Rhinolophus ferrumequinum: one gene and its partners. The protein of the gene in region 1 purifies or fractionates together with the protein of each later gene. This does not show direct contact. Links are inferred from orthologs where the notes say so. Each region holds a gene or a part of one and is shown in the gene's direction. Other genes may lie near its edges.

The links.
Region 2: the proteins of ABI1 (region 1) and WASF1 purify together in Homo sapiens (affinity purification with mass spectrometry; 6 studies listed by BioGRID and IntAct, with this or other methods). This does not show direct contact. The link is inferred for Rhinolophus ferrumequinum from reciprocal best matches to the Homo sapiens genes ABI1 and WASF1.
Region 3: the proteins of ABI1 (region 1) and CYFIP2 purify together in Homo sapiens (co-immunoprecipitation; 4 studies listed by BioGRID and IntAct, with this or other methods). This does not show direct contact. The link is inferred for Rhinolophus ferrumequinum from reciprocal best matches to the Homo sapiens genes ABI1 and CYFIP2.
Region 4: the proteins of ABI1 (region 1) and EPS8L1 purify together in Homo sapiens (co-immunoprecipitation; 4 studies listed by BioGRID and IntAct, with this or other methods). This does not show direct contact. The link is inferred for Rhinolophus ferrumequinum from reciprocal best matches to the Homo sapiens genes ABI1 and EPS8L1.

What each region holds. Positions count from the first base shown.
Region 1 is NW_022680355.1:11,066,785-11,074,651, reverse strand, and holds the start of ABI1 (abl interactor 1), read left to right. Parts: upstream 1-4,858; 5' UTR 4,859-5,071; coding exon 5,072-5,188; intron 5,189-7,867. UniProt on the Homo sapiens protein: May act in negative regulation of cell growth and transformation by interacting with nonreceptor tyrosine kinases ABL1 and/or ABL2. May play a role in regulation of EGF-induced Erk pathway activation. Involved in cytoskeletal reorganization and EGFR signaling.
Region 2 is NC_046286.1:62,591,248-62,598,216, reverse strand, and holds the start of WASF1 (actin-binding protein WASF1), read left to right. Parts: upstream 1-3,949; 5' UTR 3,950-3,968; exon of another isoform or gene 3,969-4,435; intron 4,436-5,136; exon of another isoform or gene 5,137-5,277; intron 5,278-6,969. Other genes in the region: CDC40 (pre-mRNA-processing factor 17), read right to left, coding at 3,242-3,430.
Region 3 is NC_046307.1:27,467,691-27,475,280, forward strand, and holds the start of CYFIP2 (cytoplasmic FMR1-interacting protein 2), read left to right. Parts: upstream 1-4,579; 5' UTR 4,580-4,721; intron 4,722-4,779; exon of another isoform or gene 4,780-5,143; intron 5,144-7,590. UniProt on the Homo sapiens protein: Involved in T-cell adhesion and p53/TP53-dependent induction of apoptosis. Does not bind RNA. As component of the WAVE1 complex, required for BDNF-NTRK2 endocytic trafficking and signaling from early endosomes.
Region 4 is NC_046298.1:48,320,529-48,327,999, forward strand, and holds the start of EPS8L1 (epidermal growth factor receptor kinase substrate 8-like protein 1), read left to right. Parts: upstream 1-4,460; 5' UTR 4,461-4,537; intron 4,538-5,119; 5' UTR 5,120-5,157; coding exon 5,158-5,174; intron 5,175-6,411; coding exon 6,412-6,452; intron 6,453-6,826; coding exon 6,827-6,885; intron 6,886-7,471. UniProt on the Homo sapiens protein: Stimulates guanine exchange activity of SOS1. May play a role in membrane ruffling and remodeling of the actin cytoskeleton.

The sequences.
Region 1 (7,867 bases):
GCATTGAGCACCCTTTTGTATGTTTGTCATTGTGTATCTTCTTTGGCAAAGCATCTGTTCAAATCTTTGATCTTTTTTAAAAAATTCAGTTTGTTTGTCATCCTATTATTGAATTGTAAGAGTTCTTTATATATTATGAGTACATATATTATGAATACAACTCCTTTACTAGATATTTGTTTTGTAAATATTTTTCTTCTAATCTATGGTTTGCCTTTTCATTTTTTAATGATGTCTTTGAGGAACGGATGTTTTAAATTTTGATGAAATCCAATTTATCATCTTTTTATTTCATATTTCATGTTTTAATGTACTTTTTAGTTTTTGCTTAACCCAAGTGCACTAAGATTTTCTGTTAAGTTCTATTATAGAAATTTTATAGTTTTATCTCGTTCATTTAGGTCTATGACCCATTTCAATTAGGCAAGGCCTTTTGGATCTCAAATTAAAATATCTTCTAGAAAATAGTTTGAAACCCACATCACTGCACAAATAAAGAACATGAACTGATGCACACAATTTGTTTCTACCCCCTTCCTCCCAACTGAAGGAGATACAGATAGAATTCATATTTATTATTCATCCTAGTAACTCCTGGACATCTGAAAATTGTTTAGTTTTCATTATTGTAATTGTATTATGTCCTTGTTTTCATCTCTAATATTGGTTACTTGTGCTTTTGTTAATTTTATTGTTCAAATATTTTATATCAACTTTTTGCTTGCTTCTTTGGTCTCTGGTGGACATATGTTAAAATTTTCCATGTATAAAAAATACAAATAAAGATAATAAAAAAATCTTCCATTTATGATCGTTGATATGTCAGTTTTTTCTTGTAAAGGTTTTGCTTTATATATTGATTGGCTGTGATGTTGGCTCATAAGAAGTTATGCTTACATCTTCTTGATGAGTTGGTCTTTTTATTATTATCTAATGTCCTCTTTATGCTTTGTAATGTTTTTTGGCCTTGATGTGATTATCTTGACATTATTATTGCTATAATAGTGTTGACCATAAACAAAAGACAGCCAGATATTTCTCCAGCAAAATGAGTTTATTTGGGAACAACAAAGAATTGCAATTTGGTACATGTGGTGTGATGGTGAACCACATGCAAGTCCAGAGAAACAAAGGAGAGAAAACTCTTTTATAGAGAAGAGGAAGTTGGGAAAACGATTATAAACAGAATTCTTCCTGTTCTGCTCCGCAATCCACTTAGGATGTGGCCTCCCAACTTCATTTTAAATTAGGTTTCTGTTCATTCATTTTTACAAGTTTCCTTTAGGTTAATATTTGCATGGTAAATATGTTGTTGTCCCTTTATTTTGATTAGGCTTTGAAATGACATTTAGCTGGGTTTAAATTCTAGGTTTAGTCATTTTCCTTCAGCGGTCTCAGGATATAACTTCCTCATGTTTTGTATCTATTATTGTTGAATAAGAGCTTACTAATTGCAATTCTTTTGTAGAAAAATCTGTTCTCTCTGGTAGTTTTTAAGATTTTTTATTCTATCCTTGACATTCTAATAACCAGTTATTTTATTAATTCAATTACGACTTACTTTTGATGTTTAAACTTTGCATTTAGATGTTTTTGTCTTTTACACTAAAGATTCACTGAGTCACATCAATTTCATTTCAGGATTTTATAGACTTTGTTCTACTGTTTTTTTGACATCTATTGCAAAAGAAAAGGTCACCTTGATACTTTTTCTGTTGACGGTAACCTGTTTTTTTCTACAGAAGATTCCTTTATTCTTTTATCTTTAAAGTTCAATAAATTTGCCAAGAATTTTTCTTGGCAAATTTTGTAAGTTTTGTTGTTGATTTTGTCTGTTGATTTTCCCTTTTTGTAGATGAGATTTTAAAAAAATACTATTTTTTCTTTCTTCATTTTTAAACTGAGGTATAACATACAGTAAATTATGTAAAAACGCACTGCTTTTAAGTGTACGGTTTGATGATTTTTTTTTATTTACATATGTACCCTTATAACCACTAATCAGATAAAGACATAGAATATTCTTAGTGCCCCAGATTTCCTTATATTGCTTCCCAATTTATCCTTTACAATGGTTGATTACTATTCTTAATTTTTGTCATCATTGATTACTTTAACCTTTTTTTGAACTTCATAGACATGAAATCATATGGTATGTACTCTTTTTATGTCTGCCTAATTTCACTTAATAAAGCAACTTTCATCCATGAAAGTGCATCTAGCAATGGATTCATCTATGTTGTTGCATGTATCAGTAGTTTGTTCCTTTTACTGCTGCATAGTATTCTATAATATGAATATACCACTATTTATTTATTTTTTCTTTTGTTGATAGGTCTTTGGGTTGTTTCCATTTTTTGGCTCCTATGAATAAAGATGCTATGAACATTCTTGTACATATCCTTTCATGCACATATTACTTATTTTTCTTGAATAAATACATAGGAGTGAATTGCTGGGCCTTAAGGAGGTGGATATTCAGTTTTAATAGGTAGTGCCAAAGCAAATAGTCACTTCCAAAGTGATTGTACCCTTTTATACTTGTATACATATACATAACAACATATATATTTTTATGTATATTTTATGACACACACATATATATATTGGGTTGGTGCAAAAGTAATTGCTGTTTAAAAAGTTAAAAATAAATGCAAAAACTGCAATTACTTTTGCACCAACCTAATATATATCCGTGTGTGTATGTTTATGTGGGTGCTAGATGTAATACATTCTTACCAACACTAGGTATCGCTGGTATTTTTTGGGGAGGTGGGTGGGTGGGTATCTGGCTTTTTTCATTTAGCAAAATGCATTTGAGATTCATTCATGACTTTGTATGAATATATAATTTATTATATTTAATTGCTGAAGAGTACTCGATTGTTTGGATGTACCAGTTTGTTTATCCAGTAACTGGCTGACGGACATTTGAGTTGTTCCCAGCTTTTAGTGATTATGAACAAATTTACTGTAAACATTCACATCATGATATTTCTGTGAACGTAAGTTTTCATTTATCTTAGATAATACCTAGCAGTAGGATTGCTAGATTATAAATTAAGTATGCTTGGCTTTATAAGAAACTACTAAACTCTTTTCCAGAGTGGCTATAGCAGTTTGTAGCCAGTAATGTTTGAGAGTCCAGTTACTCCACATTTCACTAGCACTTGCAATTGTCAGTGTCGTGCGGGGCGTCAGGCGGGGTTTCTGGTCCCACTCCCCACATAAGAACGCAGGACATGGTGAAGCCAAAAAGGAACACCCACGGAGCCATAGGTAGGGGAGTCACATCTCTATACTCTTGCTGGCGGCTGGGTTGGAGACACAGGAAACAGGAGCCACACAATTCTCAACCCTCACTGCGCCGCTTGCAGACTCAGCCACCATCTTCTTGCTAGCTCCCCCTTTTTTCTTTTTGCTACTAGCCTAGCCACGGCAGTTATATTCATGGCTAATGGCTCACTGGTTACAGCTGACAGCCAACTAGCCACAGCTGCTGGCCATTTGATCACAGTTGATGGCCATTTACTACCTGAGCCAGCACCTTTCTATGTGAGGCTGAGAGCCTGGAAACTGCTTTTTGGGGCTCTGTCCCCACAGTCAGGTTTTTAAAATTTTAGCCCTTGTAATGGGTGTGTAGTGTAATCTTTTAAATTTTATACTACATCCTGGTAGAGTGTGGCGATTATGGTTTTATTTTGTACTTCCTTGATGACTAATGGGTTGAGATCCTTTTCATATATTTATTGGCCTTTTGTGAAGTGCAGTTGTCTTTTTGTCCAATTTTTTTTATGGGATTGTCTCTTTATTGACTTGGAGTTTTTTTTATTATTTTATTTTGGATATGAGTCCTTTGTCAAATGTATATGTTGTACCTTTCTTTTCCCTTTTTTAATAGTCTTTTAATGAGTGTTTTAATGATGGCTATAGTAGACTGACTAATGGCCCCACAAAAATGTCCATGTCACAATCTCTATACACTGTGAGTATATTACCTTACGTGGCAAAAGGGACTTTGCAGATGTATAATAATCCAGTTAAGGATCTTGAGATGGGAAATTATCCCGGATTATCCAGGTGAAATCTATGTAGGCACAGGGGTCTTATAAGAGGGAGGGATGATGGGTCAGAGTCAGAGAGAGATTTGAATGTACTCTGCTGCTGACTTGAAGATGGAAGAAGTGGCCATGAACTAAGGAATGCATATGGTCTCTAGAAACTGAAAAAAATCAAGGAACGATTCTCTACAGTCTCTAGAAGGAACAAAGCCCTATTGACACCTTAATTTTAGACAACTGACTTCTGATGTCCAGATATGTAAGATAATAAATTAGTTTTGTTTTATTACTAAATTTGTTATAGCAGCGATAAGAAAAATGTCTTCATTTTATTAAAAAACAACTTACCAATTTTATTAGTACTTAACTGTATCCTAGTTAAGAAATTTTTGCCTAACCCAAGCTTGTGAAATTACTGTTTTCTTGCAGAAACTTTATTATTTTACCTTTTATATTTGGACCTATGATATATCCTGAACAAATTTTGGAGCATGGTGTGAGATAGATTCAATGTTCAAAGTTCTGCCAAGTTTCACAGGCTTCTCCGGAAAACAGTTTCATTCCGGGGAATCACACTCTGGCGCCATCTCCCGGGGATGTCAGGAAACTCCGGATTTAAACCACCACCAAAGGTCGACGTTCTTAAATTACACTCCCTGGGGTTTTTTTTCCGAGGTTCCCTGGACGCATGCGTTTTTGATGGGAAGCCTGGCCTGTGAAAAACTACAATTCCCAGAAGGCCATGCCAAAAGGGGGCGGAAATCTTGTGGTGGGGGAGGGGGAGGGAAAAGCATGAAGACTCGCGAGAGAAGGAGGTTGAGGCAGCAGTGCGAAGTGGGTGGAGGTGGGTGGAGAGAGTGAGGAGGAAGAAGGGGAGGTGCTGTCCCACAATACCAGGCGGGAGGGCGGGTAGGCGGTTTGTATCCGGGCTGTGAGGTGCTCGGAACCTCCGCGGACCTTGCTGTTTCTGTCTCTTTAACGCGAGAGGAAGCGATGCGGAGGGGTGGAAAATGGCAGAGCTGCAAATGTTACTAGAGGAGGAGATCCCGTCTGGCAAGAGGGCGCTGATAGAGAGTTACCAGAACCTGACCCGGGTGGCGGACTACTGTGAAAACAACTACATACAGGTGAGGAAGCGCGGGCGCGCGGGCGGGCGCTGCCTGGCCGGGCCGAGGACCCGCCGCCGGCCGCCCGAGTGACCAGCCTACTGGGCGGGGTGGGGAACAGCCCTAACCTCCGCGGCCGCCTCAAGCCCCAGCCCCAATCCCCAGCTGGGGACAGAGCAAGTGGCCGGGCTCCGGGAGTCGGGCTGCGATACAGGAAGTGGCTGTGGTGGTTGAAACCGATAGAAGGGGAGAGAGAAAATGGGCGAGGGAGCAGGGAACCCGCCGCGGCCCGGAGCCCCCCTACCGTCCGCCTCCCTGCGGGCTCAGCTCCCCGAGTCGCGCTGCCCCCTCGCAGCCTGCCGGTCGCGAGGTTTCTGCCTGAGACCCAGCTGCCACCCGGCCGCCTCTCCGCCAGGCGAGGGGTCTACGACCGAGACAGAGGGGAGAGGAAAGGGCAGGGACGAGGCACAGGGAGGAGCAGCAGAAGCGAGAGGAAAAGCGGGGTGTGTGTATCGGGGGAGGGTAGGGTGGGGGAGATTATGTCAGTTCAATCCAGAGGGTGTGTCTTTTATTTATTTATTTAAAAAAATTTGTCATGAGTCACATTACACAGACCTCCCCGAGGAGAGGAGGAAGCGGGTGGGGAGTGAGGGAAGACGTCTAAGAGAAGTTAATCTCAAAATTCCTTTGATTGAAGGTTTGTAAATTTGCCTGCCTGTCCGTTTTCAAGTCGGGTTTCTTCCCTCTCATCATTTTCACTTCCACCTCACCATAACGTATGTCTAGAGGAGGTTCCAGCTGTCGTTATTATAAAACACAAATTAATCTTAACTACTTGGAAAAATGTCTTAAATACTGTCGTCCCCAAAAGTTTTTGAACTGTTGGTTTCATAAAGTAACTTAAAATAGAATGGTGTAATCGCCCGATGCTTATTTTTTGAAGGTTTCTCTTACCAATATAAGTGAATGTATAGATTCTAAATCCAAATCGGTTACAGAACATACTTAGTTTTAGAACCATAACGTAAAATATTACTGTAAATTTATTAGAAAATTCTTGGGGCCTTAACTATGACAGATGCTTGTTTGTTTTTATTTTAATGATTGAAAGTGAATTATGGTGTGATAGTTTGGTTTGTAGGTCTTTAACTGCATAAACCAACAGTTTACAATAGAACCAAATAAAGTACCAGAATCCTTTCTATCAATATAAGGGCACCAACAATTCACTATTTAGTGGCAAAACATGGCCAAAACGTGCTTTGAAAGGTTAGGGTTATTGCAATTCAGAACTAAAGTATTTATAGAAATTCCTCCCATGTGATTGTCATTTTAAAGAACCAATAGTTTCTGTGTTGGCAAATGCTTTTCCTCCTTATTTTTAGAAGGAGATACTGTTTTCAGAATATTCTGAATATTTCTCAGTTTCCATATTAGTAACATTATATCTTCAGTAGCACTAGTAGGAATTTATCTCAAACTTTTTCAAGCTTTTACTTTAGGAATTCTGATAAACTTGTTGAATGCCTGCCACGTCTACTAAATTTCTTGTTTTTGCAAACGTTATATTTAGCCTTTAAGAAATAGTCTAAAACCAAGTAGAAATGTGGATATAGTTTTCAATTAGAAAAGTTACCTTGTAGTTTATTGATATTAATACATACAGCTTTTATTCAATTTAACATAAATATTAAAATTGAGGTGAATCTCAATTTACTGAAGATTTTAAGGACTTTGAAAGTCAAAGGGAGAGCACAGGAAGTTAAATTGCACCTATTCCAGAAGTCATTTCTTTGTAGAAGTCAGCAGATAGTACTTCACAAAGGGTGGCTTCTTTTTGTTTTGCATGTTGGGAAATCTGACAAATACATGATGTGGTAACTGCTAAGTGTTGGCAAATGCAAACGTGTTTTAACCTGTCTGGTGACTGTTTTTCAGGTAATTGTCTGCTGTTGTAAGGCTTTTTTTTTTTTTTTCCTCCCTGACCCCTTTCCTTTTCACCTCCTGCCACCATCATGTAACTTGGAAGCATTTTTAAACTTCTTGGTAATATCCCTAGTTAAGATAAGTCATTTTATTCTCATGTAGTCTCTTACTTTTAAACACGTTAGTACAGTGGTGCAAAGAACCACTATCAGTGGCCCAAGATTTTTTTTTTTTTTTGGTGGTCCTAAATTGACACAAGTGCGGTATTCTGATCTTACTGGGGAAAAAGATGTTTATCTTAGTAGCCTTTAAACTTTGGGGGGCATGATGCAGGCCATTAGCTAGCTGCCTTCCTGAGGCTCAGACAAGGTCAGGCTCAGACAGGCTTAGAAGATGCTGAAGACTTTGTAGGAGAAGTGGTAGCTGACTTTGTGATGTGCTGTGCTGCTAACTTTGGTGCTGTGAATAGGGAACAAAAGTACTAGTCGTACCCATTTGGGTGTCTTTTGAGATCTTTCTGTATCCTTTCTGTGATCCTGATTGGGTTATAATGAACAGCCTACGTAAATGTACCTCCTCTCAGGGAAAGTATGTGGTGACTTGCGTTTTGAGATTTTTTTTTTTTACCCAAGATGAGTTAAGTTACTGCCTGGGTGATTTTTATCCTGAGAATTCAGTTTTAATTTTGTTGTTTTCCTACATTTTGGAAGTATAGTCCAATTAGGTTAAGGTGTTTAGTTGACAGGTTCTTTTGGCTCTAGTGCAATTTGGGTC
Region 2 (6,969 bases), on another chromosome or scaffold:
CGAATTTAAAATTGCTATATACCTCTTTGTGAATTAAACCTTGTATTTGAGGAAATGATTAAAAACATTGCACGAGCTGCCAAAATTCTTGTTATTAGTCACAATACAATTAGTCAAATACAGATGAATGTATCTGCATGCTTTACACACCTCCCTTAGTCACTTTTCTATCATTACATTTACTATGTGTAAGTTTTTTTTTGCATATAAGGAGGAATTGGTTCACAAACTAGCAATGATCAATGTCCGTTACTCTATTATCATAGAGCCTAGATCACTGAGAGGGTCTAGCCCCAGCTCTGCTTCCAATGGACCTCTGGGACCTAAGGTAACCTCTCCTAGATTTTCTTGAAGTGATTGAACTAAGTGAGTTCTAGAGACGTCCCCTCACCCCTACCCAATCAATATACATCAATTCTCACTGTACATGCTTTTCTGAAGATCATCTTTTTTACCTACTCTTTCACTCATTTTCTCACCAAATATATTTCCCTTAATCTTCTGTAATAGGCATTGGAGACATGAAAGAGAGCAGATGCAACAATCTCTGGTTCCCAGGGCCTCACAACAGTCCAGGGAAAAGAAAAAGGTTAACAAATTACAGCAATGTGGTAAGTGCTATAATTGAGGTATAAAAAGGTGCTAAGGTAAACAGAGGAGGAAACGTGCATGAGACTGAAGAACAGCAGAGTTTGGTTGGGGAGGCGGAGAAGGAAGGCACGAAGCAAGCAATTTCCAGGCAGAGAGATAAGTTTGGGCAAAATCTTAAGAAAAAAGAAAATAAGGCTTTTCAGCCTTTGCAGAGATTTCAGCGTGGGAGAACGGCAAGCATCATATGTTACACAAGGAACTGAGAAATTACCCAAAAGGCAACATGGTGTCTTTGGGCAGGGAAGTGATATGATAATATTGGATTTTAGAAAGATCACTCTGAGTGCACTGTGAAGGAAAGAGTGGGCTATGGAACTGGGGGACAAGAGCAGGTAGAAAGACTAGTTAGAAGGTTATCATCATCGTCCCGAAGAGAAATGATAAGAATCTGAACTAAAAGGTGACAGCAGAAGAGCAAAGAGATTTGATTAACATCATGGCACCATAATGGGCAGGACCCACTACCCAAAAGTAGCGGTGTTGAGAGAAAGTAAAGTCAAGAATGACTCCTGGGAGAAGTAAGGAAGATATGAAGCCTGTGTCAGTGAAAATGAAGAGGAAGGAATTGATTTGAGAGAAATGAATGAAGCAGAAATGTTAGAACCAGATGAATGACTAGCTTCAGGGGCTGAGGAAGAAGAAAGAGAAAAGGAAGACCCCTCTATTCTTGGCTTAGACTAATGGATGGGATCATTAATCAAAATGGGAAAAACAGGTGAAGTAGATTTTGAGAAAAAGAAAATGCATTAATTTTTCAGCACATTGGAATGGAGGTGCCTGAGAGCCATTCTGAGAGAGAAATTTAATCGTTTGTGCAGCTAGCAAGGAGTTTACAATTGGAAATAATGACAGTAATACTTTACATGCTTTATGACGTCTTATGACTCCAAGAGTGTTCCCAAGAAAACTAGGTTGCTTTGAGTTAAGGAAAACACGTAGTGAAGCGGGAGAGCTCCAAAAAGCTGAGCTGTGAAAGGAATGAAGACTCCGGACGTTGCTGAAGGGGTTTAAGTTTGGGGGAGTTTGTTTTGTTATAAAAATAGGAGGATTCTAAGCATTCTTACCAGCTGTCCATTAGTAAAAACGTGAAATTTACAAGTAGCTCATTAAACAGGGGTAAAAGACTTAAGTTATTAACACTAGACTTGGGAACATCTTAAATACACAGGAATTTTTGCACACTGCCTCCACTCACTACATCTTGAGCTTCTGATCACCCCCATTAGGTTCTACGGGGCCTACACTATCAGTTGGTGGGTGCTCTCCTTAGGCTCTAGACACTAATCTTTCCTCAGTTCTTCAAACACAGGCAACTGCTATCTGAAGGGTTGCTGTCTCCTTTGTTTGGAAACTCATGCCTTCGTTTGCACACGGCTGGCTTCTCGCTTTTTCAAAGCTGCTTTTTCAGAGAGGACTTCCCTGACCAACTTATCGAAGTCATACTCCCACCTTATTCTCTATCACAGTACTCTATTTGTTTCCTTCACAGTACTCAATCCAATTTGTAACCACTTTATTTGCTCACATTTCACTGGCTGCCTCTTCCACTAGAATGTATGTATCATGATGGCAAAGATGTCTGGCTTGTTGGTTTCTATGTCTTCAGACCTTAGAACAGTTCCTGGTAAATAACATGTGTTCAAAGAAATATTTGTTAAATCAACTATATAACCCAATTTCTCCCTCTATCACCTTTCTCAGTTGGGATCATGCAGCATGCTGGTTCTTAAATCCAAGGGCTTTTCTCACTGTGGACATACCAGGGGTGCCAAAAAAATGTATACAAGTGGACACTTTGGTCAACGTTGCTCAAGCAGTACCTAGCTAGTAATCAGAAGCGTCTGGATGCTGATGGTAACCACTCTGAGCACCTGTTGTAATTGCAAAAGTCAAACGTGACTTGTATTCATCTTTTGTTATTGGTATGTATTATTACAGTTTTAACAGTTTTTTCCTTTCTTAAAGTGTGTATACATTTTTTTAGTACCCTTGGTATATAATCAAAAGAGCTAACATGCATTGCACTTTTAGTAGATACCAGGCTCTATGCTATAAGCTTTATTTGCATTTCACTTCATTTTCACAATAATCCTCTTATATAGATAGGTGCTTTTAAAAAATCTCCATTGTACAGGTGAGGAAACAGAGGAGGTTGTATAACTTGGCCAAGTTCACATAAGTGGTGGAGCTGGGATCAAGATCTAGTTCTGACTTCAAAAACAAAACAAAGCCCAGCCACCACTCACTTCAAGTGAGGGCGCATACTCTAGTTTGGGAAATCCTGAGTTAGCTTTTCTTATGTTGTGAGAGTACACACGCTCTATCCAGGCCACATCCTAATCCACAAATTCAAATTTCACTCCCTATTCCCACTTGGTTTCTGATGGCGGGAGCGGGGAGCAGTGGAGGGCTGTCCTGAACTTCCAGCCCCCGGCTTCTCCCAAGGAAGATGCATGTGGGAAGAAGAGATCCAAGAGTTAGTGACGTATCTCTCAGCACTGAGGAAGAGATAACCAGGAGCCTAAAAGTGACTGTCAGATTTTGGAGCAGAAGCCAATTCCCGAACCGCATCAGAGGCAACAGCGCTTACCTTAACTGCCACCTCCGGAGCCGAGTCCACCGCCACTGCCAGAGACGGTTTGGCGGAAGGCGATTTAGTCAAGTGCATGAGGGAGTCGGCCGCTGGCAGCGGACACCGTCCGCTCTCACTGTCCGAGTCCGATTCGGACCCTGAACCCGAACCATAGGAAGCAGCCAGAGCCGCAATCGCAGCCGACATGACGGCAACAGAACTTCGGCGGAGACCAGGCCCCGGCGGAAGAAGAAGCGGCTCCCAGGTCCTGACAGATTGCCATGGCACACATTATTTACTTCCTTTGCTACGATAATTTATGACATTTTAAATAAATTAATAATGTTATAATAAGTACAACATAACTGAGAATTTGGAAGCATTTCTCTAAGGACATAGAGAGAATTATAATAGTTTATAACTTTCAGGACCTTCTGACTAAATTAAAGACTACGAGTTCCTATGTACCTTGCGGCCTCGAGGTCCTACACTCCCGGCGAGCAGCGCGACGGAAAGTGGGAGAGGCACAATGGGAAATGTAGTTTGGAGCAAGGGGGCGGGGCGGGGCGGGCAGGCATCTCTTTGACCCCGCCCCTGAATTGATGGTTCATTCAATTGGCTACCATCTTCCCTCATTCCCTGGCTTAGCACAGTTCTCTCTGTCCCCCTCCCCCAAACTGAGGATTGGGCTATACCATAAAACCTCAGGAAAGGGGGGAAGATTGATATTCATACCCGCTGATGAGTAAGTGGACGGAGGCTGAGTTTTCCACCACCGCTGAACCGAGGCACTGGGGGCTGAAGAGGATAGCGAGAATCTTAAGTGGGAAGACCCTGACTGGGGGGGTTATAGCTCCTGGTGGGAAGGATGGGAGGTTAGTTGGCGAGTCTAGCGGTCCCCCCTGCTTCAGGCGTGGGTCCCCGCGCCCAGTTGTGGAGAGGAGCGCGCGGGGAGGGGGCGGGTGGGGGGCGGCGGCGGCGGCTCGCGGTGTTGTTCGCTCGCGCGTCGAGCATACTGTGGGTCCGGCGACCGGCGGGCGCCGCAGGCGGCGTTCCCCGTGGCCCCATCCCTCGGCCACTGCTCGGAGCGGGTTCCACCCGGGAGCTTACTCTGTTGGAGGCTCTAGGTGGAGTCCCGGGAGCTGAGGGGGACCGGCGGCTGCCGCCGAAGCATGAAAAAGGGATAAGGCAAGAGCCCCCCAAGGTTTCACGGTGAGCGCGAATCTCTCAGGAATTGTTTTTTGGGGGGAGAGGGTGCTGGGGAGGAACTCTTTCTCACTGGCCAGAATGGAGAGTGGTGGTGTGGTGCTCTAGCCCGGCAAAGGTTACGGGGATGGGCGCGCCTCCCCCGCGATGGCCCCCACCCCCATTCGCGGGTTCCAGAGCTCCCGCCGCCCACCCGCCCGCCGGGCTGCGTGCCGAGGGCGACAGCGGCCGGCGGGCGCGCAGGGGTCTCGGTTGCAGGGACCGCCTGAGGCTGCTCTAGGTGGGGAGACTGCAGGGCTCACCTGCGGTGCCACCGCCTGAGCGCCCGTGCCCTGCACCCATGGTGCACCCCCGTGTCTTCTCGCTCCCGGGGAGGCTGCAGCACGGGGTGGCGGAGAAGCCCCTTCTCGCGCTACGTGCCGGGCTCTGTAAAGCAAGCTTATGCGTTTGCGTGTTTGCGCCGCGCTTCTGTGCCTAAACACATAACGGTAAAGCGAGTACCGGGAACCCTTTCTTCGCCTGAAGAGAAAGCGAAGCGGGGCGGTCGCCTCTGATGCCTGTTAATGGGGGGGTGCCTCGGGCAGAGTTAGGGAGCCGCTCCCTGGGCTTCAGTGTCGGTCGGACTCGCCCATTGTGCCACCCAGATAATTATTCAACTATGCAGCATCCACTGCACCTTTCCCATTTTTCTTTTCCCCTGGCTACAGCATGCCCCCTAGCTTCGGTACTCTGACGCCTTCTCTTGCACTTGCGGATGAGGAACTGGAGTAGTGATGAGAAGAAAGCACCCTGACCTGAACATTCACAACCTGCTCTATAGCCGATTAATTAATCCCCAGCTAGACTAGGTACATTAAAACGACTTGGTCTAATGCTGTCCTTTTCTGAATAAGGCGTGTCTTCGATTATATTTTAAGTTTTTTCTTGGGTGTTGGATTCACGTATTAGCTAAGTCTTATTTCTGTCCAGTAATTTATGTAGTTGATTTATTGGTTATTCAACCCGTCTAATGTTCTTAAATTTAATTTGTATGGTAGGTAACTTTCATTTTTCTAACGTTGATAGCGTTATATCATAATTACAAATGCAGTTTCAGTCTTTGAACTCTCAGGAACAGCTTTTCTCATGCTCTAAGTTTGTTAGGAAAAGTATTTTTATTTAGGTCGACTATTTGAATAAAGTACATGATATAAAAATTTTCAAGTTTTGAATAAGAAAAGTTTTGTGTTGATTTTCAGTAACAATATTTGATTGCTAATCATAGCCTTCAGTTGAATGAAAGGAAGCATTTAATATTTAAGATGGGGTTTAACTACTATAATGTGCATTCGCTAATTTATCTAAATTTTATTTTTTATTCAGTTTTCTTTGCAATATCATGTATTTAATTATTTGTTACAGATTTTATTTTTATCATTTTTCTAACTTCTGTCTACAGGATGGGTATTTTTGCATGATCCAAATGAAAGATGAAATATTTTTTGAAAATGGAAGAAACAACTGTTGGTTACTTGCTCTTATGTTAAAAACTTTACATCTCATTATTTTAAAATAAATGATTCACTACCAAATATAAGTGTTTTCTTTTTGTTTTTGTAATTCTCCCTTTCCAGCTCTTCTTGCTTAAGCTTGTTGCCATAACCCTCTTGATAAAACCGAATTGCACATAGGCATTGCAGAGGCAGTTGTTTTAAGGTACAGTAATTGTTTTATGGCACTTGGAAGTGGCGCACATACAGTATAATTTGATGGTGTAAGATCAGTTGCTTGCTTAGAAAATGACCTTGCAATTTACAAAATGGACACCTTTGTGCCTTGGTTTCCTTATATGTAAGTGGAGATAAAAAATACCCATTTATTCGATAAGTAGCATGTGTAAATTCAGTAAAGATGTTTGCATAATGCTTTTAAAGAAAATTGGAATGTTTTAGCTGATGAATGATGACAAATATTTCGGTGTAAAACAAAATGAAAAAATGTCATTGGGATTTTCCGTGACATGTTAGAATGGCTGATTTATCAACATTGGATTTTGCTTTGGAAAGGTATGGCCTTAAATTGAAGATTGTTTCCCATCCATTAAGGGTTTTTAATAATTGCAAATTCAGTAGGTTTTATAGTTAATATGTACTTACAAATGTACGTGTAGTTAACGTTGATGAAAAAAGTTATATGACGTAATAAGCAAGTAGAATATTGAATTAAGTTTGCGAAAAATAAAATCTCCAGAAAATATTAAGGCCTTTTTCACTGAAAAACTTGTAGCTGACACAACCCAAAATACATAGTTGTGCTCATTTGTAGGTATGACATGGTACTACTTTATTTTTCAGGTTTGTAAATAACCATATATTCAGAGACAATGTCTGAATATTGTGTAATACTATACTTATACATTTTGCTTTATTTTCATAATACTCAGGTCTATCATTTCCAAGTACTGATTTTCATTATCACAGCTTTTGATTTCTTTATTGAAGGATTAACTCAGTTAATTTTCATAGCAAAAACTTAAAATATTAATATTAGAACTTTTACCA
Region 3 (7,590 bases), on another chromosome or scaffold:
CAATTTTCTTAGGCAGACATATAAACAAGTATGATGTCAGGGGAAACTTCCTGGAATCTTGCTACTCAAAGTGTGGTCCCTGGGTCAGCAAGAGCAGCATGGCCAACTTTTGGGAAATGCAGACTCTCTAGCTTCACCCTGAGACTCACTGAACGAAAATCTACATTTCCATTAGATCCATAGGTAATCATATGTACACTGATGTCTGGGAAGCACTGTCAGAGGATATAATGTCTGACTCAGTTTTGAAGATGAATTATGGTCTTTTTCTGTTTTTTGTTTTGTTTTTTCAAGACAAGCAAGTGGGCAGAAATAAGATAAATACTTTCCCGACAGAGGGATAGAGGAAATAGAATGTGTTGGGAAGCTATAATCAGTTTACCATTGCTGGAGCATAAAGGGTGTGTGTGTGTTTGTGTGTGTGTGTGTGTGTGGTCTTGGCCAGGGTAAGTATGATAGAAGGGGTAGGCAAATTGAAACTGAGGCTGTCAGTCTAGGCAAGGACTATGTTTTAAAAGACAAAAAGAGTTGGAATTCTACCTGTAGATAGAAAAGATGTCATTGAGCAAGGAGAGAGAGTCAAACTTGCATTTAAAATATATGTTCTGGCAGAGGCCTGGTGAGTGCATTTGAGAGAGGCAAAGCTGGTGGAAGAGAAACCAACTTGGAGATGGTTTTTGTCTTGCTCCTAGTACCAGATTATTGTTCATACTCACTCACTGTCATCTGCTGTGTGGGTGACATGTGGAAATTGTAATTTGGAATTCTTCAGTCACAATTGCACAGAAATGAATAGCTGTTCCCCTTCCTCTTAAAATCCCTGTGAAATAAAAGCTGGGTTTTTAGAGTTTGGGTGTGTTGAGCTCTCGCGGTACCTTTCAGTCCACCAAACGCCCAGGTCCACTCAGGAGCCAGTTTATTCACCAGAGGACCATTAGGCATGGTGAGAAGGCCTGTGGCTTCCAGGCAGTCCTTTGTGGAACTCACCTCTGGGCTTCACTCCCATTGGCAAACGGTCCAGATAAGAAACTTCCAAAGGGGGCTGGACCAACAGATCTGCTTCGCAGAGCATTTATCCTGCAGACCCTACTCTCTCTGGAATCTTCCAGCACTCTGAGGCCCACCGCTCTGAGGAAGAGGCAAAGCACACACTACATGCAGCAACATGTGTGTGTGTGTGTGTGCGTGTGTGTGTGTGTGTGCGCGTGTGTGTGTGTCTTCAATGACTTTGAGCTTCTCCCCAAGTTATGACGTGTAGTTGGCTTGGGAAATAACAGAACCATACAGATACTGTTAGAAGGAGTTATAGAGATCCTTTTATTTATTTCATAAATAGTTGGCATTCACCGGCTTTTGCTTGGCACTGTGTTAGGTGCATAAGATGAATAAGATATCAGTTAGGAACCAAACATATCACACTCACATGAAGATAATTCAAGCAGGGCTTATTTACAAAAGGCCTATTTCAAACCGCATGGGTCAGGTTTAAGAGAAGCATAGGAGGTGGTCCAGAGGAAAATAACAGCTAAGGAGCAGTTACCACCCCTAGGCCTGAAGTGACAGAAGAGGGAGCGATCGTTGGAACGTGGAAGCAGAGAATCACCTGGAGAAGATTGCGTTGACAGAAGAAGACTCCCAAGGCAACATCGAAAGAAGGAAGCCAGGGAAATAATATACTGACTCCCTCTCCTTTCACCCCATCGACTGTTGGGGCTTCCTGTTAACCAAACCCAAGTGGAAGCCAGAAGACAAGGAAACCCGAGAGGGTAGAGAGGTCAGTCTCCAGGGTGAGAAGAATGGAATGGTTTGGGGGGAGCAAGATATGTGATACAGACACCAAGCTGTCTGTTCCCAAGTTCCCGGCTCTCAACCACTCTGTGGGGTTGCTTATAGGGCCGCCTGTGCTGGCCTGAGAATACAGCAGCATCGACCCCATTTCCTCAGCTAGGTTTTCACATTCCAAGTCCATTCGGAATATGCTCAGACCCTCCTTCTCAGGCCTTAACCAAAATTATTGTAAAAAGTATTTGTTTAAATAAAGATGAAATGTTCTTTGCTATCGAGTTGTGTGTTCAAGATCTGACCTTCCGGGGAGACCAGTTCTCTAGAAGGTGTGGGAAATGAGTCAAGTGAGGGGAGGGATGCATTTCTAAAAGGCCCAGGATGGAGCAGCTGTGTTTCAACAGCAAAACCGTCCTCAATATCTCTCTATCAAATAACAGGCTACTTGTGATCACGCTCTCATGGTGGGATGCAGGCAAAGATGTCACCAATGACACCATAGCATAACAAGTGGTACATAGAGGAAGCCCAGGGACCTTTAGACGGCTACCCCTAAGCTACCCCAGACATGGAGGGACCTTGGAGGAAGTGATGTCTAAGCAGATACCAGAAGGATGGAGAGACGTTCGGCAGCAAACTGAGTAAAGTGTGGAAGGGGGAAGGGAAAGGAGGTCAGATCCTTCCGAGCCACAAAGTCCAGCTTGTGCAAAGGCCACATGCAACAGAGAACACAGCAAGTTTGGGGAACTAACAGATTCCTTTTAGCTGAGGCATAGCAAGCTTGTTCATAGGGGAGGGAGACACCAGGTCATGAAGGCTCTCACAGGCCATGGTCAGAAGTTGGGGCTCCATCCTAGAGCCTGGGGAGCTAATGAAGTGCTTTAAACATGGCAAGGGCATGTCCTTTGTTTTAACTCAAGTGATTTTCCACATTCATAAGTACCTTGGAGTGTATCCAACCTACTTCACTGTATAGAAGGGGAAACAGGGAGGTGAAGTGACTTGCCTAAGAACACTTAATTGCAAAACTAGGACCAAAAGGCAAGCTTCTGGATTTCCAACACCGTGGTTTCAAAAAGATCACATTGCTTCCCCTTATAAGCAAATATAATTCAGGGGTTAGAGAATTATTTTTGCCTCAGATCCAACCAAATACATAGGTAATCGTGTCTTTTGTTTCTAAGCAATTGCTCCTAAAAGGTGAAAAGACAGGGAAGGAACCTCAGGGAGGAATACATTTTCCAGAAATCTACAACATTCCAAATAATATTCTATTTAGAATGAAAATCCATTCTTTCATTGTTACATCTTTGTAATCACTGACACTCAAAATCCCAAGGATCACAGTGGAAAATGAAAAAAAAAAATTAAAAAAAAAGAAACCTCAGTTCCTTTTTAAATGCCATCCTCCACAAACACCCCCACAGCTTTCTCACATGTCATCAGGGACACACACACACACACACACACACACACACAAAATATATATATATATATATGTGTATATATATATATATATATATATGCTTATACATATATATGCTATTCTTTCTAAAACAGCAATTTAAATTAGATTTAAATTAGAATGAGTAATCTTAACAACAAACCACAGAGGATCATGATTTCTGAGTACTTGGGAAATGGTGTGAGATCAGTGCGGGCAAAGACTGCCATAGCTCTGTAGAATCACTTGAGTAATACAGCTCTTCTATAAATAGCCCCTGATCGGAAGAGCTGAGTGTTAAGGATAAATTTGTGGGCCCTCAGCAAACATTTACGAATAGTTCTCTTTTAACAGGACTTTATCCTTTCAATCTGTATACTCCTAAACTGTCTCAAATGCTTTCAAATTATTTACCCTGTAAGGTAGGTATGGCTCCTGACAGCTATGGTGGCATCTCAGGAACAGAGTGAAGGGAGTTGCTTCAAGGTTAGGATTTGGTTGTCTTACTTCAGCCTGGTCTGAAGATCCATCAGGCTGCATGCACGTGGAACCATTTCTTTGGAGAGTCCTAAATAGCAGATTCCGCCTTGAAGAAAGTGCCTGTTCTCTTACTTAGCTCCTCCCTGGGCTTTGCCAGGAATTACTTCCTGTCACCATATATTTTCCTTTTTGTCCATTAGGCACTTCTCCCTGAATGAAGTTGAAGTATGTCCCTGCTTAAGAGATGGCAGCTTCGGGGATTCGTCTTTAAGGGACTGAAAAGGAGTGCCAGAGGTTATTCTTGAACTGAGGAGAGCAGACTCAATTGTTAGAAAGACGGTCCCTCTCCCCAAGCCCCAGGTTTTCTTTCTATCACTTTACTTCGTTCCTTTCCTTCACAAGACTTCTCTCAGCTGTAACTGGACATTTGCTAGGTTAATTTATGCATGCCCTGTGTCGCCTGGTAGGTGAAAAGCTCCAAAAGGGCAGGGACCCTGTCTTTTGTACACCAGTGCATACCCAGCTCCTGGCACGGTACTTGGAATAAAATAGGTGCTGGATAAACGTTAGATAGATAAAAGAGCACTTGGAACTACTGTGCTATCAGTGAGATCCGAATGGAGCCCAAAGCTGCGGTCCTCCCCTGCTGCAGGTGTGGTTCCCAGGCATGCGGGCCTAGGAACCAGTCCTCACTCCTTTCTCCATCCCCAGAGCAGGGCGGCTGGCAGGACTGGGGCGGGAGCCCGAGGTGCAGGTCTGGGATGCGCCGGCCGCGTTGAGGGGCGCACCCGGAGCCCCTCGCCGCAGCCATTTCCTGCTCTTTGTGTGACAGCCGCGACGGGGAGGAGGCCGGGCACCCGGGGCGGAGGAGGAGCAGCAGCGGGCGGAGGGGCGGGACCGAAGGCGGGGCCGAGCGCGGCGGCCGGTGGAGCGGAGCCCGGCAGAGCATCCTGTGCCCCGCCGCGGGGCCCCGCGGTATCCTCAGGCGGCTCCATCGGACCTGCCGCAGACCCAGGTAAGCGGCGCTCGCGGGCCTTGGGGCCCGCGCGGGGACTGGGATGCTGCTGGAGACGGTGATGCAGCCCTGAGGATGCGCGAGGTGCCGGCACCCCTTCATCTAGCCTACGGGGGGCGCTCGGAGCAGCGCCATCGCTAGCGCGGCCTGAGGGCCCCCGGAAGCCCCGATCGCTGGGCTCCAGGCCCCGCGCGGTCCCCTTTCCCCTCCCGCCTACCCTGGGCCCCGGGACGCGGACCCCCTGCAGGGACGCGCAGACTCAAGGAGTGGCACCGGGGCACCGGCGCGACGGCCGCAGCAGCAGCAGCAGGTGCGCGGCCTGGGCAGGAGCCGCGGGCCGGAGAGGGAGCGGCCCTTATCCAGGGTACCGGAGACACCTGCAGCGGCCGCGAGCCTGGCGGTGGCGACATCCCGGCGCCCAGGTACTGCAGAGCGCCAGCCTCCGCCTCTGCCGCCGCGGCCACCATCACCTCCCCCAGGGCTAGCAAGAGCCGCCTGGGCCCGCCTGGCAGCCACCTTAGGCACCCAGCGCCCTGCGGTGAACCTGAGATGGGTGGGGCGAGGGGCGAAGCGGCGATGTTTGGGGGTGGAGGCCTTAATGAGAGAGAAGGCTCGTCTGACCCGCTTTGAAGCCTTCTGGCCGAAGCTTGCAGCGCTCTCCTCGGGGATGGCTGGGGGCGGGGAAGGACGAGGAGGAGGGGGATGAGTGGGCTGACTGCTGGGGACAAGGTTGGCTTTTCTTGAGATCTGAAGAATCAGGACGATGCTTACCTGTCTGTGGTGGCTTCAGCTTTTCAGGACAGCCCTCCCCCTGGATGAGTGCACACCACCGCCTATGTGAAAAGCAAGAGAAGGGGGTGCTTTCTGTTTAGGAGTAGGGGCGGGAAGCATGGTCTGATTAAGAGTATGGTTCTCTATACAGAGAACCTCTAGAGAAGGGCACAGCCTGCCCAGGTGCCCTCCCCAGCCCAGGGATTCTGACTTTGACCTCTGCTTGCCTAGTTTCCCTGGCACAGCAGAAACACTCACCAAGGGCTGATGGCCATCAACTCCCCTTCCAGACAGGCCAGGAAGGGGACAAGGATCTTTACCTGCCAGTTCCTGGGTGCTTGTGCTGGCATGGAATGGGCAGGGAGATTGGGGCAGTCCTGCAGGCATGAGGGGCAAATCCGGAGAGTGCTGGTTCCCACACTCCCCTTTCCAAAAACCTCCTACCTGTGTCCCCTTAGAGTAGGGGGTCAGGGGGTCTTACCTTCCTCTTGGGCACAGGCCATATTGGAAGATTTTTGGCAACCCTGAAGATCACAGATGTTTGAGGGCAAAAATCTAGGTCCACATCCCTGGGCAGCTTGTTTTCTCCAGCATTAGCCTTTTCTGTTACCTTCCCTGAGGCCTCCTACCTCCACTTCCACACAGTGCCCTGTGCTTCCCAGTCTCCTTGTTTTCGAGAAAGGAGCCAGTGACCATATTTATCCTCAGGAGCTAAATACAAAAGAATTTCCCATTCCACGCGGAGCAGGTGCTTTGATGTCCTTTGACCAGAAAGGAAATAGAAGCTGAGAGGCATTTTAATGGGAAACAAAGCTTTAGGTCAAATACTTGATACCTCTAATGGTGGAATTTCAAGCAGTGAACTGGAAGTCGGAGTGGGGAGCTGGGTAGCAATTTTGTGGAACAGCTCCCTGAAATGACAATATCTCGCAGCTGTCAGCTCTGTTTGCTGCAAGGGCAGCTTTGGCCCCCAGGGCAAAAATATCCTCCGAGTAACCGGTCATCGGTTCGGTCACTACAAAGCATTGTTGAGCGCCCAATGTCCACATGGGGGAGGTGAAAGTTTCCTATAGAGAATTACTTGTTGGCACTGGCTGCCATCTGCCAGGATAGTTACTAGGCCACAAGAAAAGTGTGTTGTTACTTACAAAGCCAGGGCCTCTGGCTGCTTGTGCACAATGAGCCTCTGGCTGCGGGCATTAGCTCTGGGCTCACTAAGCTTCTTTATTATATTTCCTGGCCAGTTCTGACCGGTTCTGTAAGCACCCAAGCCTGCCTTGTTCAGTCCCTGCTGGAAATGGAAAAGGAAAAACTTGTTTTAGGCATGAGGCCAAGAGGGGGGTATAAAATCCAATAGGATTGAAGAGTTTTCCTCAAGTCAGGCTGGCCCAGAGAAGGAAGTAGACATGAATTTCAAAACTGGGAGAGGTCCCAGAAGAACATCACATGTCCCTTCTGATAAACTGTGCCCTCTCCGGCCATTCCGTGGGCCTCCACTGCTGTCATTGACCAGAGAGTGGGATTAGGTGATGAATAAGCAATAAGCTGATTAACATTGGGAACAGCGCTCCTGGAAAACGTGCAGAGCTCTAGTCTCCACATTTGAGGGGTTTTTTTGGCCTCTGTCTGCCCCTGGGTTCCACCATGAATTTCACAAAATGGCCTTGTATAGCCTGCATGTGGCCACCATAACAATGAGTCTGTTTTTTTACTGGCAAGTATTAATTATTCTCTTATAGTTGACGAAACCAGACCTCAGTCACCTCAGTGGAGCCTTTGTAAATGGCCTTTGGTCTCGTTGTTCTAAGGAGCAAATCCACGTCTGGAGTCCAGAGGATGGGCCCTGCATTAGTGATAGAGGCCGGGCACGAGGGTGGAACATGCTGCTGCCTGCTGAGTGGGAAGGTGGCAGGCCGGCAGCAGTGGGGAAGGAGCTGGTACTTCACTGGATGCTCTTATTAAATGAGATGCATGACAGTGCTCAGCAGAGCATCTACTCTTACACTTATATATTGTTAAATGTGTTAATGACATAATCATTAACAATATAGCTCATGTGTGTAGTTAACCCACAGCTCTTACCAACCCCTCCACCTCC
Region 4 (7,471 bases), on another chromosome or scaffold:
CTATAGCTGGCAGGCCTCAGAGGGACTCCAAGGAAAAACCTACCCTAATCCCTTTGCCCAGGGAGGAATTTCTCTGGACTCCCACACTGCCTGAACTACCTCCATGATGGCACATTTAGGCCAGCCCATGCTTGCGTCACCTCCCCAGCCAGACTGAGAGCTTCTTGAGGCTCAGGCTTGGGGCAAACCCATCTGAGTTGGCGTTTGGCCAGCCTGTCGTTTGCTTTTGTCGTTGTCCTCACCAACATGATGACTGTCCTCATAGCTCGGTTTCTGGCCTCACCTCCTGGAGCCAGCCACACCTCCTACAGACTTTCCTGGTCCAGCCTCCCCAAGGTATTCCCTTGGCCGGAAACCCTCTCTCATTCTCGAAATTCAGGTCAAAGGTCACATGCCACCTACCTCAGAGAGGCCCTCTCTGACGACCCCACCTGTAGTGACCACACCTGCCTGTCCCTTGGTCAATCCCTCTCTTTACCTTTGTTTCATTTCCTCCATAGCGCTTACCACAACCTGAAAGTCTTATTCACGTATGTGTTCCTGCCTGTTTATCTTCTGACTCCCCACTACACCCACTAGGATGACAAAAACACAGGGGCAGGGGTGTGCTCTGCCCAGCACTTAGAACGTGCTTGGCACACAGTAGGTGCTTAAGCATCTGCTACTACATGACTTTGGGACATCGCATATGCCACTCCCCATGCTGAGAATATCATTCCTTCCTGTATCTTCCCTGGCGAACTCACATTTATCCCTTCAGAACACCGTCTAGTTAGCACTTAACCAGCGAAGGCTTCTTTGACCGCCTCACATACGCATCACAAAGCTGGCATAAAGGTCTCCTCTGGGGATACACAATGCCCTGTGCCACCTCCATTAGTGCACATGTCACTGTGAATTGTGACTGTAGGTGCCAGCAAGGTCTATTTTCCCAGTGAGACTCTCTTCTTGAGGGGAAAGGGTGAGACACTAATTAGGTCTCAGGAACCATTTACTGAGTGAATAAATTAGCAACAAGTGAGTAAATCTATCTCCCTGAGACCCAGCTCCCATCCTTACACCCTCTCCCAATGACCTGTCATACCTCTCATTTCCCAAGAATTTGACCTCGCTCCCTGTCCTATGAATTCATCAGTAAATCCTCTTGTTGGGTGCGTGTGTGGGGGGGTGTGAGCCCTGGGGGAGGAAGGTGAGGAAAGAGATGGGGGGGAAGAGTGTCAGATACGACACACAGGGCATCTTAGCTTATGAAGCCCCAGTGGAGAAGTCTGTTTGGTTCCCGGGTCCCCTCAACCCAGAGAATAAATTAACTAGCCCAGTTCGCCAGTTTGAGGACAGAGGCAAACTCAGACCCACAGTCCTAAAGCTCACTTACTGAAGGATGCCATAAGGACGGAATGAGAAGGCAAGGGGGTGGAAAGGGTTGTGTTCTTAGGTGCCCGGTTCCTCCCACTGGTAAGTCTCCAAGACAGGGGTTCACTGCCTCCTCCCGGGACTTACTGAGTCAGGCTGTGCAGGGGTGGGAGCCCCCACTGGTATCTGGGAACCACTTACTACGGTTTGGAGAGAGGGAGGGGCCTCCTTTGCGGCCACAAAAGGAGGAAGGAGCTCCTGGGCCCGGGAACTAGGGCGGGGGCTCCGGTTTCGGTGTCTCGTGCCGCTCCAGGCCGCGCGGAGAAGGAGGGCGGAGCCTGGGAGAGCCTGCGCCGGGCCGGCCCTCCTCCCTCAGACCTAGAGTCCCGGGCCCTGACTCCCACCGAATGCCTCTATGAGGTCAGTTTCTCCACCTGCATCTAAAGAAAGGGGCTTGCGATCAGCTAAATATGCACTTGTGTCACAGTCCGGGGGTACTGTGACCTTGGGCTCGTGGTTTTCCCCACTCTGAGCCTTTATCTGCTCCTCTGTCGAAGGGGCGCCAATCCCCCCAGTCAGCCTCACAGAGGGTAAGGGGTCTGTTCCTTCCACCCCCAACCCAGGTAGGAGCTCAGAAAATATTTGTGCCATGGATGTGACAGGGACACAGAGTGACAGGAGCTGGAGACAGAGACACACAGAGCCCTCTCCCTGCTGCACACCTAAGACCCACCCGCCCGGCACTCAGGTACGCCCAGCGGGCATAGCGCCTTGGCTCCTCCACCGCGGCTCCACAGCTCAGGCAGCTCCCTGGCCTGGAACACTCCTCCCTCCCTCATCCTCTAGGCCACTTTGAGCTGCCAAACTTGCCCTTCAGGTTCAGCTCTCGCTGCCCCTCCTCCAGGAAGCCTGCCCTGCCTCTCTTAGCAGCCTCTTCTGGGCTTCCACAGCACCCTTTGTGTCCTCCATTATAGCACATACCTAAAGAAAGACCATCATCTCTGTCCTTGTAACATTCATCAATCGTTTCCTCTTTGCCAGGTCCATAATCTCATTTAATCCTCCCAACACTGTGATCACCATTTTACAGTTAGGGGCCTGGGGCACAGAGAGGTTAAGTCATTTGTCCAGGATCACACAACTAGAAAGGGGCCAGGTCACAAAGTAGCAGTGCAGGCTAGCACCAAAGGATGCTGGGTCTAAATCACATGGCCTGGATTCAACTGTATCCATCAAGTATTATTAGCTGTGCGATTGCAGACAAATTACTTAACTTGTATGAGCCTCAGTTTCCTCATGTGTAAACGGGGTTCATAGGACCTATTTCATATATTGTTGTGGGGATTATACATATACACACACAGATATAATGTACTCAGAAAAGGACTTAAGCACACAAAAATTATTAAGTGGCAAAGCCAGAACATGAACCCACACCCCTGGACTCTGCCATCACACCACACCATATTATTGTCTCTTTCTCTCTGTTCTTTCATCCCCTTCAATCTAGGACAAGTATGTGTCTTCTCTGGTTTCCAGCCTCACTCAGCATAAACTGTGAAGTCAACACGTCTTGACTGAAACAATGAAGCAATAATGCACATGAATGCACCAAGTACAAAAAGCTCATTAATTCAACAAATATCTCACTTACTCTGTGCTGTACCCTATTCTATATGCTGCACATAGAGTGGGAGTCTGAACATACCCTTGGGAAGCTTTCATTCTAATGTGGACACATATAACAAACAAAAGGAACACCTATTCCATAGTATGTTAGAATGTGATAAACGCGCTGAAGAAAAATTAAGTACAAAGCAGGGGAAGAAATGAACAAGGGGAGGGTAAGAGATGCTGCAATTTTAAATAGGATGGTTTGCCAGGCCTCTCTGAGAAGGTGACATTCGAGCAAAGACTGAAGGAGGTGAGAAGCAAGCCATGAGGCTGTCTAAGGGAACAGCATTCCACGAAGAGGGAACAGCAAGTGCAAAGGCTCTGAGACAGGATGGGGTCTGGGAGCTCAAGGAGCAGCACGAAGGCCGGTGTTCAGGAACAGAGTGATAGGGAGAGGAAGAAGAGGAGATTAGAGTAGTGACCCTTAAGACCCTACAGACCTCAGCTTTCATACAGAGAAAGGAGAGCCACTGAAGGATTTTGAGCAGAGATGAATTTGACTTGGGCTGACTTTTGGGCTGACTTCAGTTTCTATGAAGTCCCTGCACTGAAACTAGACTGAGGGAAAGGGAGCAGGAAGACCAGTTTAGGAGGCAGGTCCATGTGAGAAATGATGGTGGTGAGAACTAGGTGGGAACCACTTATAAGAAAGAATAAAAGTGGGCATGTCCAGCCTCCTGCTTTCGGGGAGGTCTGAGCTTTGGCAGCTGACGTTCTCATGCATTCACTGCAGGAGTAACCTTGGGCATGGCTCTTAACCTTTATGGTCCTGTTTCCTCATCTGCGAAATGGAGACCCCCTCACCTCACTGGGTTTGGGAAAGAAATGATGTATACATATACCTCGGTTTGCAAGGACCTTGGTACAAGGAAGTGCTTGAAAGCAGACTTTATGCCTGAGGAACCTGCTTGTTTTTTGCGATGTACCTGGAGCTGAGTTGAGTCTTAGCCATCAGCATCATCATAGGGGTTTATTGAGGGAAATTTCCAAAGAAAGAGGAAAGAGGAGGGATGGGGGTCGAGGGCACCCGTGGTGATGGGAACTGTGGACAGGTGTGCACAGAGCAGGGGATGACACTGGCCCTGGAGATAGAAAAACAGCCGTGGGTTCAACGCCCATCCTTCCACATTGACCGCCCCTCTCTTGAAACATGAACAAGTAGAAATCAAACCTCCGACTTCCAGAGATATTAGGAGAATTGGAAGGGGGTATTTGAGACCAAGAACAGGTAGTGTGACATCTAGGACTGTTGTTATTGTTCTACTGTTGTTGTGAGGAGACAATTATGGTTCCTGCTCCTCTGAGGCTGTCCCAGCTGCCCCTCCCCTTCTTCCCCACCCTGGGTCCTTCTGCCAGCCCCGCCCAGGGGCCACTCCAGCTGGGCTGTGCCAGGTGAGTGCTCAGGTATGCGGAGGCGGGGCAGCCCGGGGAGGGAGAAGGAAGGAGGGGCCCTTGGTCTGGAAGGGAGAGCAGAACGGGGCCTCTCTGCTGACAGAGCCTGACAGGGCAGGTGAGGAGGGCGCCCGGGAGAAGGTCTGGGTCTGAGGGAGAAGGGGCTGGAAGGTGGGGACTCCTGGGTCTGGGGGAGGAGGAGCATGGGCCTGGACTCCTGGGTACTGACAGGAAAGGCTGCGGGACCCAGACTCTAGAGTCTTGTAGAGGTGAGGGCTGAAGATTGGGCCCCAGTCCCTAAAGGAAGAATATAGGGTCATACGGACTGAGGAATTGGATGAGTGGTTCTCTGAGGAGACCCGGGCTCAAAACCCTCTGGTTCTTAGGAATGAGCAGCTTGGAGCTTAAACTGGGTCCCTGAGAAGATAAAGCTGGGAGACTGGATCCTGGATAGAGGAGGAAAGTGGGATACACATAGATTAGGAAAATGAATGCATGGATTCCTGAAGGATTTGGGGGCCAGTGTACTAGGTGTGAAAGAGGAAGGGCTGGGGGCCTGGACTCCTGGGTCTGAGGGAGGAGGGGCCTAGAGTACCACGTCTGAGGGAGGAGGGGCTGGGGGCCTGGACTCCTGGGGCTGGCCTGGGAATCTTAGGTCCCGCAGGTCAGGTCAGGCCTCACCTCTTCACTGGCTCCCAAGGTGCCTCCAGGCCGCAGGAGCTCCCCATTCTGAGCACCATGAGCACCACCACAGGGTAAGTGCCCCCTGGCCACCAGGCCCCCAAGCCCACCACACCTCTCCACCCTCTCACCCGTACCTGCCGGTGGCATTTACAGCAGCCCAGATCTGGACACTCAGAAGTAAGTCAGAGCTGCCTCCTTCCCTGTCTGGGCTGTAGTTAGAGCTCTGCTCCAGAGCAGACAGACCTGGGTTCAAATCCAGATGCTAACACTCAGAAGTGGTATGACCCTGGCCAAAGGACATCTCCTCTTTGAGCCTCAGTCCCTCCTCTGTGAAACAAGGACAATTGTGAGAGCTTGATGGGATAGTGCACATAGAACTTAGCAGAGAACTTGATTAACAGCAGGTACTCAGCTAATAGGAACTGCTATTGCTGTTGTTATTATCTTATTATTAAATAGTGACCCTTTGCTAAAAAGTCAGACATGTTTATAACAAAGGCTCAAGTCTCCTGGAGTGAGCAGGGAGAAGGACAAAGACAGACACATGGGAACAGGTGCACAGGAGATGTGACGTAGTAAGTTCTCCAGGCCAGAGGTAATCAAATTGTGGGGAGATCTGACTGGCAGGAACAGAATGAGAGGTGGAAGTTTGACTGAAAGGGTTTCTTATCCCTCATCTCTGACCTCACCTGAGCTCCGAGCTTCTGTTATTTCCGTGGAAATGGGGACTCAAGAGTTCTTGGAGAAGGTGACCTTGAAGAGGGGGGTCGAAGGCAGGAGACAGAGAAGGATTTGGCTGGGAAGAGCCTGGCCCGTTGCGGGTGGGAAGGGAAGAAGGTAACTCTCTGTCTACTCCGAATGCTAATGCTATTGTAAAAAATCCCATTTATTGAGCAACTACCACACAGTTATTGAGGCTGCAAAACACTTCAACTGCATTATCTCATAGAATTTGCCCAACAGCTCTACCAGAGGGAAGCTGTAGGGTAATTAACCCCTATCTTACAGAGTAGGAAACTGAAGCAGGAGAGGTGAAGTCTCCTACCTTGGGTCTTATGGCAAGGCAGTAGTTGACGGGGGATTCAAACCCAGGTCCCTGTGACAGTAGGGACCACACTCACCAACACCACCCAGTACCACCACCTCACCTGTCTTAGTAATGTCCAGCTATGCCCTGCCCTCCCCTGCTTAGAATCCTCCGTGGCTCCCCAGTATCCTCAAAATGAAGTTGCTGCTCTGCTTGGCATTTGAAACCCCCATGATCTCCCAATTCCCACAGCCCCTCTCACCCCTGTTTTCCTTCACCAGCCCAGAAGCTGCCCCCAAACCAAGTGCCAAGTCCATCTATGGTGAGTTTTCAAGCAAGGAAACCCCAGGCAGAGAGAAACAGGATCTGAGGAGTGAGGGAACTGAGAACATGGACTCCTGGGTCTGAGGGAGGAGGGGCTGGGAGCCTGGACTCCTGGGTCTGAGGGAGGGAGGGCCGGGGGCCTGGACTCCCAGGTCTGAGGGAGGGAGGGCCGGGGGCCTGGACTCCTGGGTCTGAGGGAGGGAGGGCCGGGGGCCTGGACTCCCAGGTCTGAGGGAGGGAGGGCCGGGGGCCTGGACTCCTGGGTCTGAGGGAGGGAGGGCTGGGGGCCTGGACTCCTGGGTGTGAGGGAGGAGGGGCTGGAGGCAGGGGCTCCTGGGTCCATCCTCCTTTTTTCCCCCACACACCCCACAGAGCAGAGGAAGCGTTATTCAACTGTGGTTATGGCAGACGTTTCCCAGTATCCAGTCAATGTGAGTCTGGGGTCTGCGTTGCCACTGGGAGTCTTGTAGGATGAAAGGAGACTGGGGTGTTGAAAGCAGTTGGGCCTCCAAGTAGAAAGAACTTGGGAAACTCAGTTTGCTCACCTGTGCAGTGAACTTCATCTTGCCTTCGACATGGGCATCAATGGAGGAACTCAATTCCACTGGAATCTGCCAACTTTTCCTCTGGACCAGCTCTTGAGCTGGACAGTCTGGCCACAGGGACAAATCAGATGCAATCCTGGATGAGTAGGGGGCAGACAAGGTCCACAGGTACAGCAAAGGGTGGCAGTAGCTTTAATGGAGGTAGAGGTGCTTAGAAGGGACTAGATATAATCAAGACCATTCCCTGCTTTCAAGGAGCCTCCAGTCTAGATGGGAAGGCAGACCCAGGTGTTAGTCACTCTGATGAAAGAGAAATAAAGGTCATTGGGTAGAAGCATCCATAGGTGGAGCAGGTGATCAGGGAAGGCTTCCCAGAGGAGGTGCGGGTAGTCACAAGCCTGACGGCTGATTCCAGGGGATGCTAAGCCCACCTGGCATCATCCGGGGACTCACTGCTTTCTCGGTGACCCAT